2 linked regions of the Daphnia pulex genome follow. The protein of the gene in region 2 interacts with the protein of the main gene of each other region in a pairwise test. Links are inferred from orthologs where the notes say so. Each region holds a gene or a part of one and is shown on either strand. Other genes may lie near its edges.

Region 1 (5,616 bases), on a different chromosome or scaffold from region 2:
GATTCGGGTGGCGGAGTTGAAGGCTCGCCTCCGTCAATTATGACGTTATTGTTCCGTTGGGCCTTGAGCAATGTATTTTGATCCTGGAGGTGCTGCACGTTGACGTTCAACTCTTCGATCTTGCTCTGAGAGTGCGTCACAAGGTAAATCAAGAAATTGTTCTCCCAGCGTAAAGGTTTTCTCGGGAAAATATACCTGAGCGGCTATGTGATCCCCTTCCAAGGCAGCTAATCGCTGCCGCAGGTGTTGTATCTGTCCATCTTGCTCACGAATGACGTCCTTGTATTTGGCCAAAGCCTTCAATTCCGATTAAAAGATATTTGTATCATAGATATCGATTATTATTACGATTATTACGACCTACCATCGATTCGGACGGGGATTCGGCTCCTTTAGGACTGGTAGGCGGAGCCACCGCTTTGGCAATGACACCCTCTAGTCCTATTAATAGAACGAAACACAAGAAGGAAAAAAAAGAACTGGTTAAAGCTATATCTAAAGATGAAATCCAATCCAAGTCCTGTCAGTCAACTCTATACGTTGATCGAGTAGCCATGGCTGCCAGCGGGAAATTGAATACCTTTGTACAAGCGACAGAACTCGTGATCGAATTGGATATCAGCCGCGGTATTGATCCGAATTTGAGGGTGTTTGAGGGCTTTGCTGTACACTTCGTGTTTAGCGATCTCGGCAAGTTTGTCGACGAATGTTTCGACTCCGATTCGCTTGGTTATTAGTTGGCACAGGGATTCCTACATGACGATAACACTCAATACAGTAAATGACTAGGTGCAACTGGGCAGCAACGAAAATATACCTTGGAAAAGTTGCTGTTTGCATCGTTGTTGTAGACCACGCAGAGTCCTAGGAGAAAAGCGCACAAGCTCTGCACAAGCACCTCTTGGTCGTCGTGCTCATTGGAAGCCACCTAAGATAACATTTCCCAATTTTTCTTTTACTAGGAGATACTTTAAGATAATTTGAAATGGGATTTTACCAGGGCCGTTAAAAATGCCACAGCATTTGGGAGTTTTAAAAATTGAGCCACAGAGTTGGGGCTATCTGCCAACCAGGTGGACAATAACGTCAGAATACCCAGTCGAGTCTGCAACTTGCCACCCTGAGACACACATAAATGTTAGTCAGAAACGTATAGTTCAAGATGAATTTGAATCAAGAAATTTACCAATTGGAGTATACTAAAAGCTTGTTGTAGGAGGGAAACGGGTGCGACATCTTTGGCGATAGCCAAGTGCACCCTTAGCAACAGTTCCCTGTTGTTGGTGTTGTTGACAAGAGCGTGAGAGAGTGCCACGGAAGAGAGCCAGTGAGAAAGGCAGTCGGTCGAGAACAGTCCACCGCACAATAATTGGCCAGCTGAAATTTGCTGCATGGCTATGATACGAAAAAAAGAGAAAACAGGTTTAATGTTTCCATGCCGGCTGGATATCACTTTCTCTTGCGGGGGGGATTATTATTCACCTTCTGCCGATGTGGGTAAAAGTGCCTGGATAATCTGTCCCTGACTGAAATCGTTCTTGTAGAGGAAACACTCGAAACAGTAGAGAACGGACGCTCGGAGCAGCACCGGCTGCTTTTCGTTGACCATAGACATGAGGAGAACGACCAAGGCTGTTCGCGGCGGTGACGAAGAGGCCATCACTTGGCCAAAGAATTCTTGATTGCTCCGGCAGCCGCGAATCGATTCGCCGACTGTGCAGATGATTTCGCTGAGGATGTCAGCCGGAACGCCGGGCGACATGAGTAGAGCACACAATTCGGAAAGCAGACCACAGCCGGCCACATTTTTCTGGGCTGGAGACACCACTTGAGTGGCGTTGGCCGGAGATACCAATGTTCTTACCACCTGTGGGGAAGAGATATATAACAGTACTTACTAACTCTCACTCTTTCCCTTTTTATTTATAGAATTAGGCTGTCGATGATGATTTTGTTTATACCTGAAGCATGGAATGTACATTGCTAATCTTCTGTATAGACCAACTGCCAGTTGGATCACCCCCCTCCGACTGTTGGCATGACTGGAAAAACGGTGTGATGTGCTTCATGCAGGATTCTGGTGGTTGCAATCGACTTTTTAAAATAGAATTCGAATTGAAATGAATTAGATGGATTACCTTCTCGAAAGACTGTCTGGTTTGAGGCGTTGCGTTTGAGGAGGTTGAGCATAAGTTGTAGGGAATCGTCTACGACGATACCGCCGTCACTGTAGCCCTCGCTGCGAACGACTTGAAAGAGCTGGTCGAAACCACGTTCATAGGCGATAATGTTTTGAATGTTGGCATTGCTTTTAGTCAGCTGGATGAGAAGGAGTAAGGCTTCGTTTCGCACGAAATCCCGGCTATCACTGAGGATATCGATTAATTTGGCCACACCCATCGGACATGCCAGAACAATTTCCTGCATTTCTTTCGATCTGTGAAAAAATGTGTATAATTAATAAAAGGTTTTTTTTAAAATAATGAACGAGTTAAAAATAGACACTGACTTGTTGTTTAAGAGGTTCATTAGCAGACGAATCGCTGGAAGTCGAACGTGAAAATCATATTCGTCTAGTAACGTGATGACGCTTATGACATTCTCTGCTTTTTTGAGAAAGATTTCAGTGAACTGCTCTCCAACTGGGGCACCGACACCCTCTTCTTCAAAAACCTCTGATGAAGTTACATTGCATAATGTTTCCAGGACGAAACTGGATGTCTCCAGATCCGGCTGGCCATTGAGCACCTCAATCAAGGCATCCAAGCCGTGGGCCCCCACTTCCAATCGATACTTTTTGGAAAGGGCTTTGATGGCTCTGCAGGCATCCCGTTTGTCCTCCAGCAGAGTCGAAGATGTGACTCTCTCAACCAGTCTCAGCACCTGATGAATAGAAAAAAAGAATATTTTAAAGAAGCAATCTTGACACGAATTCCCCCAAAAATAAACTCAAAAAGTCCTTCACACGCCATCGAATTTTACGGGCCACAGCTGTTTATCAGAAAAGAAAACGGTCAAGGACACGACTGCACTTAAGTGATTGACGTTAATTAATGTCAATTGAATTACCGTGTCAGCAGGAGAAGGCTCCGCTTCCGGCTGGCTGATGACAGACTTGAAGCCGAAAAAATAATCCATCACGACTTTGGGAAAGTATGTCTATAATAGTTCTATTTATTTATTTATTTACTTCTAAATTTGGAATCAAAGCCGTTTGGGTTACACGTCATTTCGATTCAACCAATTTCGTCTGCTTGGCTTTGTTGCCAGATATTTAAAATGGGCCGCGTTGAGCCGGTCACTAGGGAGGGCTTTTTGAATGGGATTTCGTGTTAGATTTGACAGATTCGCAGGTATCGGGTGTTGGCTCGAGGTCAAATTTGATCCTTTTGACGAATTCTCTGTTAATTTGAAATACATATCCTATCACGCGCTGAGGATATCCTTTCGCTCCGTGCCGCGTCTAATATTTAACGAATATAATTCTAGACTTGACATCCTGTCGATCGATCGAGGGGAAGAACGGATTGGGTTACAGCCTGCTGGCCACAGGCAATCTTTTACCAGGTGAAACAAAGAACCGTGCAGCAAGGAGGACCACTGTAAGCAGCGGTCGTGCTGCTGCTTGGTCCACAAAGATTCATGTATAATTCTAGTTTGGAAAATTATTTTTATCTACTGACGAGATCTATCTCGACCTTCACGCACAAATTGTGTGGGAAGTGTCAAACGGGATATCATGCCCAAGGCTTTCCTTTCCCTTGTTCTTTTGTTGTTTTTATTGTTGTCAAAGGTTTTTTTAAAAAAAAGAATCCCTATCCGCAAGAACTTGAAATACCTGCTTATAACGCCCGATTTTGCAGCGAGTGGTCTGCTGCCAGTCTGCTGCCAACAGCCTTATATCTTTTTTGCATACATTAGCCAACCACACAGTAGACATGAGGAAGCTATAAATCCTTATAATCCCATATCCTTTTTTCCCAAAAATGGAATTTTAACGTTTCAGGGTTCTGTTGAAAACAAGGCTGAACTGTGATATATCCCCTAGCACATCCAGAAAAAAAAGTTCTTTGTTGCAGCTAGAATTATTGATTGGTGGTACTATTATATAGCGTACCTTTTTTTTCTTCTCAACTTTAATCCATTTCTTTCCCTGCACCTCGCATCCGGCTGGCAGCTGCTGGTTGCAAACTCTTCCTGGACTGCCGTGAGCAGTCAGCAACAGAGTATATACAGTATATAATATACACAACAACACAATGTCTCTGGATGGCTATTGGCTCACCGGTAGTTTTAAGTTGCTGTTGCCATCCGAAGCCCTTAGCCTACGTGATGTCGAGCAGGGAAACCAGGAACTCCCTTCCTTGTAGTACCCCCTACGTTATTATTTTTATTTCACTTGGATTTTTTGTTTTATATTTGCCCTTTGTTCATTCAGTCCGTCATGCAAAACGTTGTTATCTTTTTTCCGTCTTCTGGTTTTTTCTAGAAGCCTTTAAAAAACCAGTTCGGAAATTTTGATACAGTAAAATAAAAATGGCTGATGTAAGAGATAAGAAAAATTTCTCCGGAAAAAAAAATTCAAGTCTCCCAAGACAAAGAAAAAGAGGTTGAGTTTAAATAAAAGAAAACAAAGAAAAAAGATGAAGTAAAAATATGGGGTGATTGCGTGTGACGTCACTGTTGCTGTGGGCCGCTAGGGCAATACACACTATACGCCAATATCCCCATTACCCTGGCAAACCCCTCCCAGACAAAGAAAGGAACATCAAAGTTCACAACAGATAACGTAGTCACTCTCGGATCCGGGACAAAGAAACACCACGCTACACCAGCGACACTCGACGGCTGGCGATGGATATTTAATTCATAACTAATGAAATCTTTTCATTTTCACGCTTTAAATTACTTAAAAATAGCTTCAGTTCAATGTAAAATAATTACAATCAACTTTCGTGTTGATCAAGTACGTAATTAGAATCAAATTATCTAGAAGATTCTGTGCACAGAGGGCTCTGGCGTCAGTTGAAACAATGTCGTCTGCTTGGAAACCGAGTGAACGCACCGTCAGTCTGCAGTGGTCGTTGCTAAGGTAGTCAACTCGAGAACAGAGGCCTTTCTTTCTCAGTCGATGGGCACCATTCACGTTGAAAAGGCTGTTTCACTTTGCAGTCGCCATCAATCGCCCTTGTTCTTTCACTAACAAAGACCGGCCCACTTTTTCTCCCTTATTCTCTTCTAAATTTTCACCTTGATCAAAGCAAAAAACAGTTCTTTTTCGCACACAGTCTCTCAAGTTTTTAAAGCAAATCACACAATCCTTAACTACCAAGAAACCCCCTTGCACGTTATTAAATTCGCCGGCTCTTTTTTCCCTTGTTTTATTCGTGACGTCCGAAATTTCGCCAACATTGAAGAAAATGGAGGTTATGCCGTTGCCAGTTGCTTTTGATTTTAATGAAGGTAAGAAAACAAAATTTCATTCAATGTCCCTATCTTTTATGTGTATTTGAGTCGGCTCACGAAATCGAACAAAGAAACCCCCAACCTACCGGCTTTGTCGTAGCCCGAACGTGCTAGAAAACCGTTGGGGAGAAAGTCACGTTTACCGGTTCC
Region 2 (5,623 bases):
GGGATTTAGCTGGCCCCCTATGACACCCCCTTTATCACCTAAAAAAAAATATTTTCATATGAAAAATGTACAGCGCCAAAAAAGTCCCCTAGATAATTTCGGGGCCGTGTTGTTATTATTATTTCTATCAAAAGGTTATACTATAACCCGGCGCTTTTTATTTTTTATTTTTTTAGCCGTGACCCAAACACATTTCAACACGGCTGTGTTATTGAAACGATTCAAAAAATATAAGGGGACATTTTTTTTTTATTTAATAAACTCCTTTTTCCTTTTTTAAAATTTTTCTATAGGACTAAAAAAATGTTTTTTGTCCTTATTGTGTTAAAAAATAAATATACTCGTAAATAAAAAAGGAACCGGACAGCAGGCGTGAAAAGATTGATTTTCATCGCCTTTATGAATCGACTTTTGTGTGTGGTTATGTTTTTTCTTTCCATCTTTGGAAACAAATTCGACACACAAAATTTTGTTTTTTAAATTAAAATTTAACTTACTTGGAGTTCGGGCGATCCGCCTTCATCGCGGATGAGGAGAAGGTAAGACTGTCCGTCGATGGAAATCTCTTTTTTGAATCGGCCGCCTTCGGGCGATTCCTCCTGCATGTAGGAGCCGGTGAGGTAGCGATGGACCAGGGCCGATTTGCCGGACGCCAGCGACCCGACGATGCCCAAACGCAAATCGGGAACCGCTCTGGACAGCGTCCATTCTTGACTATTCACGAACGAATCTGGCAAAAAATAAATAAATCAAATGGAAATTTAAAATCACATTTTTCAACCAACTCTGCAACTCGACCGTTACACCATTTCCCAAACTATTCAATTGGAAATTGACATGTCAATGCTGCAATGGCGATGGACACGAAATGCTTCCGCGGACTGCGGAGGAGGACATTGACGGACAATTACAAGTTTCTGTGTGAGACGAATGGCGAGCGCTTATTGAGAAAACTCTTTTGTTGAATTTTCGAAGGGCGGAAGAAGAAGAAGAAGAAGCTTTTAAGAAGAGGGCGGGGCCGAGAGGAGGAGTAGAGCGCGGGCACGCTCCCAAAAATCCATCGCTGGTTACATGTTGGACGACAGGAGAGATAATCGAAACGAATTTCGACACACACACACACACGGGTACGGGGGCCATTGAGTTTTTTAGTGATCGATCGGTCGACAAGTAAACCCCCCCATCAACCAACCTAACCAACCCAACAAAAAATCTAATATTATATCAAATGAAAAAGAAGAAAAAAAAAGCGACAGACAAGAGATAGATTCCGGTTTGTTCGCAGCACACTCCAATGATAATAAAGACTTGCACATCCCTCCTCATCAATAATCAAACTAACCCCCCACCAAAAAAAAAACTAACAACTTGATGGATTTTCAAACAACTTTTTTTTTAGAGGATACCCCCCTTATTCGTCACTCTCATCCGCCTGCATCCGGCGCAGATAAAGTGAAGAACAGGGGGTTGGTTAGTGGAAATAATATAGCCTTTTTTTTCTACTCCACGTGTTATTATTCTAACAATTTGATAATTTTCCCTGAAAAAGCTGTTCAAACAAGAATCCCCCGCATTGGCGAGAGGAGAGATAACCAGACGTTGGTCGGGGGATCCACCTGGCCTTTCCTTCCAGTTGAATACAAACAACCCAGCACATAGTGGCCTCTTCCACGCGTCAATCAACATGACCGACCCCACAATGAAAATGAAGTAGGGAAATAAAAAAAAACATACAACAGACAACGGCACAAGTGGGTGAAACCGGTTTTCTTCTCGCCATTCGGCATGCAGCAATCATCACAATCTAATAACGTTAGACGACAATGATGGGGGCGCATTCTCATCAGCAAATCAGATTACCATAAAAAAGCATTTCAATGGACCTGATTTGAAAACTCAAGTGAATTTCCATCGGGAAAAGCAGATGCCCAGTCTACTACTTGACTAGAACTTTTCAACTGTAGGAGGGGGAGGCCGGCCAATCGTTGTATTGCGTAATCATTTATACCTGTGGCGATACTGGTGATGGTCGGAGTGGGTGTAGGGGTGGCGGGCGTAGGAGTTTTGACCAGAAATGACTTGGTTCGCCGAAAGGATCGGCGCAGGGATCGCCGGCGGAAGGATCGGAAAATGCTGGCCGCCGTCGACGTCGACCCGTGTTTGGTCGGCGTGCTGGGAGTGACGGGCGTCGTCGTCGTTCCGCCTCCCGTTCCCATGTGAGCCGGGTGACCGGGCGTCGTCGTCACGACGTGAATCGGCGTGACCGGAATGCCCGGACGGCCGACCGCCGAGGCCGCCGCTCGCGTGTACCCGCGTCTGAACGGCGAAGGAGCCAGCGGCTCCTCGGCCTTGCGGGTCGACGCCGAGCTCTGGACGCTGATGCCCAGCGTCATGTTGAGCACTTTTTGGTAGAAGGGCAATTTATCGCCCAGCAGGCCGCCGCTGTGGTTCTTCATTATCGAACAATCGGGGACGAACGAAATGAAAAATAAGAAAGAAGAAAAACCGGCACGATTCCAACCGATTTCCAACGCGCTCACAAAAGTTCTTCTTTCGATTATTTTTAATGAGGCGCCTCTTTTTTTCCACAAATGTTTTGGGTTGTTGTTGGCATCGACCAATGACTTCCTGTCGATTGGCTTTTCTGCCAGCAGTTCCGTTTTGTTCCGTTTTTCTCTCTTTTTTTCCGCCCTTCGATTGGCTTTTGAAATGTTCACTCACGCGTGAGAAATCGGCGCAAAGGGAAAAAAATCATATAATAATGTTGGGAGAGACCCCGCGGTGACGATCGCAACACGAGCACAAAACAACAATCGGCACTCCCGTCAAAACCAATAACAATAATGAGACGTGAGGAATCAAAAAAGAAAAGATTTGTCTTTCTTTCTTTTTTGGATTTCAATTCCAACAACCCCCACAGAAGTCAGAGAGAACTAATAATGATTATGAATTAGATCCAATGGGCCGGCACTAGTACCACCACAACGACCACCAACGGAGTTTGGCTGAGCTTTTCTCGCCCCGAACAGAGCCGATGGAACACGGGACGTCGTCATTTGGGTTGGTCCCCCAAAAATTGTTCCAAAAGTCAATCGAACGGAAATTTTCAGAACTTTTTTTTCTTTTCACAAATATTTTTTGAAAAAAAAAGTTTCGTCCAGTCCGCACCACTTCACATTGATTAGCGATTAACGATTGGAAAACTCCCCAAAATAATTGGGAGAAAACGGTTCAACTTTTTTTTGTTATTTCAAATTCAAGACGCACACAAAAACACACGAGACGAAAAGTTTGTCCGTCAGAGTGGAGGGGGGAAAACGGTTGACGCCGAACGACGGCCGGTGAGCGACTGAGCCTCAACGAGGTGAGTCAGGGACGGATGTAGTACGTATAGTGCGACGACACTCCACCCCATCCGTGTGCCCCCACCCCCCTTCTCTTTTGCCCACCCGGCGATGGAGCGCGCCGGTCGTCTCCTGTAATACGCGCGTCGCGTCGGAGGTGGGACCCCGGTTGGTGGGGTGAGGAGAGTAAAAGGAGAAGGACGACGACGACGACGGAGCTATAAGGCCTACTAAATAAAGGAAGGACTTTCTTTTCTTTTCTTTCTTCCCTTTGCGGGTAGAGAGAGAGAAGAGGAGGAAATCGGAGAAGGTATTGTGCGCCCAAGAACCTTAGCTTCTTCTTTTCTTCCGCCTTGAGCCCGTCGTCGTCGGGTCCGTCTGTTGGTGGGTATTTTATTTATGCGGAGCGCGCCAACCGCGTGCCCGTACACACATAACAGAAAAAAGGAGAAAAAACCTCTTTTTCCACTCTATTTTCTATGGAGAAAAATACTTTTGAGGTGATAATAAAAAAATAAAGAAGAAGGGAGACTCTACTATATGGTTGGTGACATAACACAGACACAGAGAGCCCTCAGTATGACCGTCGTCCGTCGGAACAACTACGCGGGGCATCGAGGCGCACGCCGGGGTTTTTCGGGGGGACTCCATTGTGTCAATGGTGGTATATACACAAACGTGAATGTCTCTGTGATTTTGGGTGTACCTTGTGTATTATCTTCTTTTTAGATGGTATATAGGAAAAGGTGTCCTCATGAAAAACGCTTTTCTTCCAATAGGAGAAGAAGAAGAAGGTAAAAACTGGCCCGTGGTCGAATCGAGGCGCCCCGCAATGTTTGTGTCCCATTCTCTTTTCCGGCCGATTCAACAACAGATGGGAAATACGACGATGACGAACCAGGAAAAATACAAGAAGAAGAAGAACCTCCTCCTTCTTCTTCTTCTTCTAGACTTTTTGTCAATGGGGACGGACGCTGGTAGCCTTTCAATACAACAACAACAACAACAACGGACGAAACAAAAACCCGGTAGCTCCACACATAGAAGGTGACTTGTCCAAAAATATTTTTCCACACACGAGTCTGAAGGGAAAAAGGTTTTTTCCTTTTCTTAGTGGGACGTCCGGAATCATAAAAATAGGAAAGAATCAACAACACACGGTGCGCACACAATGATCGATTCTTTTCTCCCGATCAAAATGTGTGACGTATCCATCATATATGTATTTGTCTTCAAATCAAAAACGAAAAAAGAAAAATCTGGTCTAGTTTCGCCAGATGTAAAGGAAGAAAAGAGACGTTGAATCCATTTTTATTTTATTTTTTCATTCCGGTGGGGGTTTGTTTGCTTATTTCATAAAGAGAGAGAAAAACACGCCGTTGACAAATCCGTCAAGACGACACACACAAGAGGACCTCTCTCCTTGCATATACATATAGGTGGATAGAAATAAAAAAAGGTAACTGTTCCTAGCAGAGTCTCTCTACTTTTTGGGGGATTCTTTCTATTTTTCTTTTGTTAGGACACAAGGAGCTCGCGTCTTGTGGCCGTGCATATTATTCAAAGTCGAGCATCAGCAGGGACGCGTCTAGCTCAACGTTCGGCAAACCGACGCATAGAAATTTCGGAATTGATCCGATTTCAAGGTGTATACTATACTTTGATAGAGAGATGAAAATCCCTATGCTGGAGCAGCTAACCTAGCAGCAGCCCCCCTTCTTATGTAAGAGGGGGGGAACTCGCAATGTGTGTCGGCATTCGTAGAAGAATCGACAAAGAAGAAAAACGCAGAAATCTTATTTCTCCATGCGTCTCTATCTCCCCCTATCCTATCCCATAAATATTATACGCAACTCTTCGTATTCTTATCAAACGTACGTATCTAAATAAATTTCTAGCCGATGCTCGGTGGTGTATTAAGATTCGATTGTGCTTTTCATCGATTCCCCCCTACACACAAGAAAGCGGAGAAGAAAAGAGGCACGTGTGTTGCGCACAAACTTACAAGAAGAAGAAGAAGAAGAAGAAGTCCACCCCCCGCCACCGTCGTCGTCACATTTCACACACAAAAACTTCCCTCAGCAGGGCGCAAAAGCGTGCGCGAGCGGGCGCACTTCCAAGATTCGAATTACAAAACCCGAAATCCCTCCCACCCTACAACCCCTTGGAAATAAAATAATAACTCGCTCATCTGGGTTCTACTATTACGCCATAACCGTCCTGTATCCCAAGACAGTCCATATACAAGAATGAACACATCACACAGACAAATGGAAGGG

The links.
Region 1: the proteins of centaurin-gamma-1A-like (region 2) and general vesicular transport factor p115-like interact in a two-hybrid assay, tested with the Caenorhabditis elegans proteins (2 studies listed by BioGRID). The link is inferred for Daphnia pulex from reciprocal best matches to the Caenorhabditis elegans genes cnt-2 and uso-1.

The regions. Positions count from the first base shown.
Region 1 is NC_060025.1:2,006,009-2,011,624, forward strand, and holds the start of general vesicular transport factor p115-like, read right to left. Parts: upstream 3,259-5,616; 5' UTR 3,139-3,258; coding exon 3,070-3,138; intron 2,884-3,069; coding exon 2,510-2,883; intron 2,438-2,509; coding exon 2,139-2,437; intron 2,078-2,138; coding exon 1,962-2,077; intron 1,868-1,961; coding exon 1,483-1,867; intron 1,396-1,482; coding exon 1,187-1,395; intron 1,121-1,186; coding exon 998-1,120; intron 929-997; coding exon 818-928; intron 753-817; coding exon 581-752; intron 442-580; coding exon 365-441; intron 298-364; coding exon 196-297; intron 126-195; coding exon 1-125.
Region 2 is NC_060024.1:12,057,083-12,062,705, reverse strand, and holds the start of centaurin-gamma-1A-like, read right to left. Parts: upstream 3,545-5,623; 5' UTR 2,457-3,544; coding exon 2,009-2,456; intron 731-2,008; coding exon 498-730; intron 1-497.